Nothobranchius furzeri: one gene and its partner. The protein of the gene in region 1 purifies or fractionates together with the protein of each later gene. This does not show direct contact. Links are inferred from orthologs where the notes say so. Each region holds a gene or a part of one and is shown in the gene's direction. Other genes may lie near its edges. The genes, in order: abce1 and lto1.

The links.
Region 2: the proteins of abce1 (region 1) and lto1 purify together in Homo sapiens (affinity purification with mass spectrometry; 4 studies listed by BioGRID and IntAct, with this or other methods). This does not show direct contact. The link is inferred for Nothobranchius furzeri from reciprocal best matches to the Homo sapiens genes ABCE1 and LTO1.

What each region holds. Positions count from the first base shown.
Region 1 is NC_091742.1:88,857,871-88,861,635, reverse strand, and holds part of abce1 (ATP-binding cassette sub-family E member 1), read left to right. Parts: intron 1-1,608; exon of another isoform or gene 1,609-1,611; 5' UTR 1,612-1,642; coding exon 1,643-1,745; intron 1,746-1,814; coding exon 1,815-1,900; intron 1,901-1,973; coding exon 1,974-2,071; intron 2,072-2,140; coding exon 2,141-2,258; intron 2,259-2,568; coding exon 2,569-2,706; intron 2,707-2,798; coding exon 2,799-2,868; intron 2,869-2,952; coding exon 2,953-3,049; intron 3,050-3,118; coding exon 3,119-3,208; intron 3,209-3,282; coding exon 3,283-3,404; intron 3,405-3,765. UniProt on the Homo sapiens protein: Nucleoside-triphosphatase (NTPase) involved in ribosome recycling by mediating ribosome disassembly. Able to hydrolyze ATP, GTP, UTP and CTP. Splits ribosomes into free 60S subunits and tRNA- and mRNA-bound 40S subunits.
Region 2 is NC_091749.1:21,691,987-21,695,805, reverse strand, and holds part of lto1 (protein LTO1 homolog), read left to right. Parts: intron 1-1,627; coding exon 1,628-1,733; intron 1,734-1,826; coding exon 1,827-1,897; intron 1,898-3,819. UniProt on the Homo sapiens protein: The complex LTO1:YAE1 functions as a target specific adapter that probably recruits apo-ABCE1 to the cytosolic iron-sulfur protein assembly (CIA) complex machinery. May be required for biogenesis of the large ribosomal subunit and initiation of translation.

The sequences.
Region 1 (3,765 bases):
TTAGGCAGAATATTTAAATTTTAACTAAAATGCCGAATTACCGTAAATCCTCTAATATTAGCCTGTATTTAATTAACTACCGAGTATCATATTTTGGCCGGTGTCGGAGTCGGTGGAGGTGAATAATGGCCGGTTTTTTATTGTGGCCGGGTGGAATGTGGTAACAAGCAAGTACGGGGGGCGGTTGTGTCATCCGTCTCACTTTTGATTTGCCAGTGATAGACTGCGAGGGTAACTTTAACCATGCGGAGACAAAGAGGAGGCGAAAATTTGATATCAAGTTCAAAGAGAACGTGCTGATTATGCTGCAGAACACTGGGGAGCAATAGGGGTTGTATGAGCTAGTCACTAGTCGACTTCACCGCTCTAAAGTGACTTTTTATGCCTGTCATCGACTAGTCGCTGTCACGCGATAATGACCGGCAAGATGCAGTCCACGGAAAAGACAGCAGCCTGCTGTCAGCAGGTGACAAGCTCCTGCGCGTCGGGAAGCAAAGCGCTGTGCCAGAGCGTCGGTACTGACACCCGCCGTAAAACGGACATTTAACCAAATTGTGACGTTTACCCTCTTGCAATTTAACCTTCCCCTCACCCCATCCTAACCTTAACCAGCTTGCGCATGCAAAGCTCTGATTGTTGATGCGCTCCAGACATCTGCATCCTGAGCACGGCCACAGTAACATTATCAAATCAGGTGTCGCCACCTCAAAAACTAATTTAACACGCGATCGTTCATGTCGGCTCATTTCATTTTATGTTTTCTGTCTTATTCATTTATTTGTGCCTGATGCGTTTCGCTGCTGTGGATCGGGGCGCATCACCTGGTTTGTCATCGGTGACGCACTGATCACTGATGTGGCCGGCAAGCAGCTCGCACTCCGCTGTTTTTGCGGTCGGTAGATCTTTTAGAACTGCAGTTCAAAGGTAACTCATAAGGTGAATATATATGAACCCAGGTAGCAGTTTCTCTTTAGGATTGAGAGGAGATGCAGGAAGATAATAAACAGGCAGGACAGAAAAATAGTCAAATAAAAACAAGTTAGTTTTTGTACCTGGTGGTTGCAACATACAGACACCATTGAAGGTAATCAGAAGTGAGGAACAGAAAATGAAATAATTATTTTAATGTTTAGAGCAGCAGGAACTCTGAGAGGCTGCAGGCGCATCAGTGAGTTTGCGGCCGCTGCGCAGGGGGAGGGGGGAGAGGGCTGAAGCAGAAACTACCGTTGTTAAAAGAAATGTGTTTAACTTTGAAAATGTGGGCGCAATTTTAATTGTCAAAAACTCCAGCGAACCATTAGTTCATTTTGCTCAAATAGAAATAGAGGCCTGCCTCTAATTCTGGTCCTCCTTCCAATAAAGGCTTGGAGCTTGATGAGCTTGAGTCAAAAACAGGCTCGGGCCTGTATTAGAGGATTTACGGTATTGAATACATTTGTTTACAGCACGATCAGACACTCATTTATATAGTTTATCAGCAAAAAAATATTGATTTGGAGTGACTTGCTCTTTAACTAGCTGTTAGCTCATCAGTCCTGAAGTACATAAATAGGAGGTTTAATAAAACCAGAGTTATTAGTCATCATTCCCTCGTCTCTTCCTGCTCAGTAGGTGTTCCCACCCATCATTCCTGCCCTCCATCATGGCGGATAAAAACACCAGGATCGCCATCGTCAACCACGATAAGTGCAAACCCAAAAAATGTCGTCAGGAGTGCAAGAAGAGCTGCCCGGTGGTCCGGATGGGTGAGTGTCTGAACAGCGTAGCGCTAACCCGGACACCAGGAGGTGTTTTACTCTGAAATGTGTTTGCAGGTAAACTGTGTATCGAGGTGACGCCTCAGAGTAAGATTGTGTGGATCTCGGAGTCTCTGTGTATAGGCTGTGGCATCTGCATCAAGGTACGCTCACACACGAGGAGAAACGTCCGGTCTGTGCAAGTCTGAGTTCGCTGATGGGTTTTTCTGCTGGTAGAAATGTCCGTTTGGAGCGTTGTCCATCGTCAACCTCCCCAGCAACCTGGAGAAAGAAACGACGCACAGATACTGCGCCAACTCCTTCAAACTGCACAGGTGCGCCGCTTTGTCTCTGGGGTGGATGAGTGCTCTCATGGGTCTGTGACGGTCAGCTGTCTGTTACAGGCTGCCTATTCCCAGACCCGGGGAGGTTCTGGGTCTGGTCGGGACCAACGGTATTGGGAAGTCCACAGCTCTGAAGATCCTGGCAGGAAAACAGAAACCCAACCTGGGAAAATACGACGTGAGTGTGGACCCTTCAGGGACGGGGATGGGTGGGACCGGGTTTCTGGTTCTGTTTGGTTCTGATAAACTTTCCTTATCAGGAAGTAAAAATGTGGTTTTGTTGCAGAATTGTTGAACGTTTTCACGAAGGATCGTTACATTTAAACATTTAGTTTTAGTAAAACTTTACGCGTATAAACATTTGAAATTTAAAGTCCATGAGTTCTTTATATCAGGTCATGCTGGTTTCAGAGCCACCTCACCTGTTAGTTTGTTTAACCGATAAAAGTTTTACGGTTGGATTTCTATCTGTGTGTGTCGCTTCCCAGAATCCTCCAGACTGGCAGGAGATCCTGACCTACTTCAGAGGGTCTGAGCTGCAGAACTACTTCACTAAGATCCTGGAGGACGACCTGAGGGCCATCGTCAAGCCTCAGTATGTGGATCAGATCCCCAAAACCGTGAAGGTGGGCGACCGCAGCAGGGCTCTTTCCTTCGATCCAAACATCTGCGTCAGTCTGAGTCGGGACCTGTTGTAATTACCGGTCTCTGCCTGCAGGGGTCAGTAGGGGCCATCCTGGGCAGGAAGGATGACACCGACACGCAGAACATCGTCTGCGACCAGCTTGGTACTAACCTAAGCACAGCTGCCACCTTTGGTGACCGACTCAGTAAGACAGTGAACTCTAAGCGTTGATGATGTTTGTGGTCAGATCTGACTCACCTGAGGGAGAGGAACGTGGAAGATCTGTCTGGAGGAGAGCTGCAGAGGTTCGCCTGCGCCGTCGTCTGTATCCAGAGGGCCGACATGTGAGTCTGGTGTTTTGCTGTGACCTCTGACCCGAGTCCACCTGCTGACAGCCGTGTTTTCTGTTCTAGTTTCATGTTTGACGAGCCGTCCAGTTACCTGGATGTTAAACAGCGATTGAAGGCCGCCATCACCATCCGCTCGCTCATCACTCCGGACAGGTGAGGCGTGTGTTGTTGTTGGCGTTGGTCCTCCTGGTCTCACCTGGTTTTACACGTGTGTGTGTGTTTTACAGGTACATCATTGTTGTGGAGCACGACCTGAGTGTGTTGGACTACCTGTCAGACTTCATCTGCTGCCTGTACGGTGTCCCGAGCGCCTACGGAGTGGTCACCATGCCCTTCAGCGTCCGAGAAGGTAGATTACAAACACAGAAATGGAACAAAGCAACGTTGCAAAATTTTCTTTTTCAGCAAATATTGATTCAAGTAATTAAAGAATGGAGCAGCTGTCACAAAGATCAGCAGCTGTAACAGGAGCTAGATCACAGGAGCTAGATCACAGGTCTCCATCCCAGAGCCACCATCCAGCATGTTCTAGTTGTTTCTCTGCTCCAACACACCAGATTTTATTCAGCAGGTGATTAAAATGCTTCTTTGGTGCTTGACGACCTGATGAACAGGAGATTAAAGCATTTATACAGGTGTGTTGGAGCAGAGAAACAGCTAAAACATGCTGGATAGTGGCCCTCAGGGATGGAGACCCATAGACTAGACAC
Region 2 (3,819 bases), on another chromosome or scaffold:
CAGAACACAGAGTGTCAGTACATTTGGAAAAAGGTAAAATAAAACAAGGGGCCCAGAGAGCTGGCGAGTGAGTGGAACGTGGGTTGTGAAGGAAGAACAGAGTTGTCAACATTGTTATCGCTATAGATAAATTATATCAACAACACATTAGCTATAACAGTCAAGGATATGTTTATCCTGTTTGCCTACATAAAAAACACTATAATCTATGTGAATTCATTGTTTTATGCTAAACTAAGAAAACCAACTGCTGCCAGATCATATTGGGCTGGTTATAAAATGCTTTTTCTGACTTGTCTAACTCTGGGGAATCTTAACAAGACACAATTTTACTGAGTGGTGGAATATTCCTTTAAGTTAAAATGTATTTGTGGAGACCACAGTTTACAAGAAAAACTTGAATGTTAGATTTATGCTGTGACTGAGTTTGTGTGTTCTGTTGTTGTTGAGATCCGCTAAATAAATCTTATTTGCATTACTTGGAAACCCTCGTGAGTTATTGAGACAGTTCTTTGGTGTGTAATAGAGGAATAAGTTTGCATCAAAAAGGCAGAGAATGAAAGGTTTAAGATATTTTTTCTTTCTTTTTTTTTGAGGGAGATATATTGGCCATTATATTGGCTATCGGCCTTTGTTAAAAGTTTTATATCAGTATTGGTCCCAAAAAAAGCATATCGGTCGGGCCCTAGTACTCAGAGTAGTTTCTGCTCGTTAAATATCAACAGACAGCTACAGCTTATAAACTTGACTCTCCCATTTTCCAGTTTAGAGTTGACAAAGCTCCTCAGATGAGAAGCAAAACAACTTCAAGACACCAAAGAAGTCCAGTTGCCTTCGTTTTAACCCTTTTGGATCTCCTTCACTAACTAGCTAACTACAAACTTGCCCTTTGGGACTTTTATTATTTCCTCGTGTCCATCGTGTCGCCGGAGGAGGAGAAAGGAAACAAGATCTTATTTAACTTAAAATAAACCTGAACTTCCTCCCAGTTTTCCTTCAAATTGAATCTAATTTATCATCATGAAAAAAAATAATAAAGTGTAACAAGAACTTTTATTTTCTATTTCTCTTTGACACTCTCTTGTATTAACTTCTCTGCATCCCTAAAGAGAAGAAACGGGTGATTAGATGCTGCAGCCGCTGTCACTCACCCCCTCCCAACACCAGATCTCCCGACATCACACCACTCAGTCTGATTGAGCCAGACTGAAGCTGAGTTTTTGAAGCGCTTCGAGGAGAAATAATAACGCATGTTTAGAGGTGCGTCCTCCGCTCCTCTCTGTAGTGTGAGCAGAGACACTCGCGCTTTTTGAGTGTGCAAATGTCGCTGTGTGACCCAACCTGACAAATTAACATAATTTATTGGCCCAAATCCAACTTGCTCTTTAAAACACCAGTGTTCCCTTGCTGCTACCTGCCTGACAAATGAATGAGTGATTAACAGGTATCTGCAGCACTTGATGTCCTCCTGAGGAGGCGATGCATATACGCAAATCAGGTGTGCTGAAGTAGAGACATGGAAGACATGCTGGATAGTGGGCCCCGAGGACCAGGGTTGGGGATAGCCTTACAACACCAACACTAGTCATTTTCTGGACACGACTGGATTGTAGTGTGTCGGTTACAGGTTCCGAGGTGAGGGCTTTCGGGACGGGTTTGAGAGGGGAACCCGTCGGGGGCTGCAGGATGGCCGCAGACATGGAACCTCTCATGGAGCCAGGCTTTCCTCAGAGGTGAGCAGGAGCCTGTACAGGCTATCTGGTGTTTGCTTGAATCTTGACCTGATGAACTCCCTCAAAGAACAACAGCCTCTTCTCCTCACATAGATTAGCTTCTATCATGGTTTTGCCATCACATGGAAGTGTCTGCTACACCACAACACCGACGAAAGGTCGAGGTACGTTTTACTAAAACCATGACGTATTCATTCTGCCGTCCTGCCTTTTTTAGATTGTTAGATGTACTAGCTGTAGAAGAGGGTACTATACAAAATGTTTTCTCTATTGATCACTGTTAATGACCAGTTGTCCCGTCAGCAGCAGAATGCCTTCATGTTTAAGCTCTCACGGCCTTGTCTGCTCTCTCGAGCCCTTTTCAGATTGACATTCCGGAATATGTGTGGACAATTCAGTCCGGTTTTTAACCAGAACTGTGTCTTCAGACACACCACTTTTGTACTGGAACTTGTCCTTTCGGCTGCCTTCACACAGCAGGGAAAAGTTCCAGATGTCTGGGGGGATCGGACTTATGTTAAGCATAATTCTGCGCACACGAAGACGCATAAGACCTGGATGATGGCGCTCAATGGTTAAAGGAATCACGGAAGCAGTGTGATGCGCTCCGTCGCTCGTCTAGACGGTACCGTAGGAGGCGAGCTGCCATGGTTTGCCGCATGCTACAGGAGCGAGCTATCTATGAGCGCACAGCGTCCCCCGATCCCCTCCTCCTCCCCCTCCTCCCTGTCCGGAACTCGACCTCACCAGTCTGAAGCAGCCACCTTGTCCGTAACAAGTCCGGACCTGTTACTAGGGGCATCGTCCGGTTTAATTACGGAAAACGTTATCCGGATGTTTGTATTCAGACACAAAGGTCTTACGGACAGAGTCCTGAACATTTCCGTTTTTCATGGCCTGTCTGAAGGGGGCTTCAAGTTGTTCAACCAACAGTCTGTAACCCTGAAATGACATAAAAGAGGGTACCCAGTGTCCTCCCCATACCCTGGACTAGAGCCCTACGCGGGACTGTTTTCTTCATCCCGCTCCTGCCCGCTCCCGCTGAATTTCTGACCATTACCGCCCGCAACCGCAATGTGTGTGTTACACTCCCGCCCGCACCCGCAGTGTGCATGTCCACTCCCGCCCGCAACCGCAAAGTGTATGTTACACTCCCGCCTGCACCCGCAGTGTGCATGTCCACTCCCGTCCGCAACCGCAAAACCCGGAGAAATTATTACCTCACAATAAAAGAGATGTATTGAGTTTGTGTCCTCTCTGGTTCTGGAGAAAACATGTCATTTTATTGGATACGGAAACCACATGATTCCTTGTTTCGTTTCTCAGGCCTGCATGTCTTGGTCAGGATTAACCATTTAACGCCGAGGTGTCACCAGGATCACCGGTGACACCTCGGCGCATGCGATTTCAAATAACTCCTCACTACTTCAATTATAAAATTCTTTAAAAAAATAAATAAATAAAGGAGCAACTGTGTGGTGCTTAAAGGAAAATCAAGGCCGTTTCATATTCTATTCTCCTCTGTAATCACGCAGTGATCGAGGCCTCTTTTCTAAGAGACCTGAATGAGAAATATTGACACAAGCGACATATAGACAACACAGCGCAGTGACTTTTAATAACTTCGTTTTTATACGTGTATAAAAAATTAACACAATCACATTGTACATAAAATAGACCGCTTTGCAAAACAAGTACCGTATAAACATGAAAAACAGCAGATTTAAAGTTTTTTGCCATATGTTGCATGTGTTCTGTTTGAAAAAATAAAATAAAAACGTTCAAACTTAGGCATGCCGCACAGTAACACAGGCACCTAATTAACAAATAGCAACAGATTGAGTGGCTCAAATAACACTAATAGATAACAAAGATAACTTATAAAAACCAAAAAATTTAATTTACTGATTAATCACTTGGTTGGAATATTGCTGTGAAGGAAGAGAATGTGGCTGACCAACTGCGGTCCCAATCCTGTGCGTCTCTCTTCCAAGATGCGCCCACAGACACTGAATGCGCGCTCTGAAGGCGCACTGGATGCAGGGATACTGAAAATGAAACGCGCCAGCTTTGAGAGCGCTTGGAA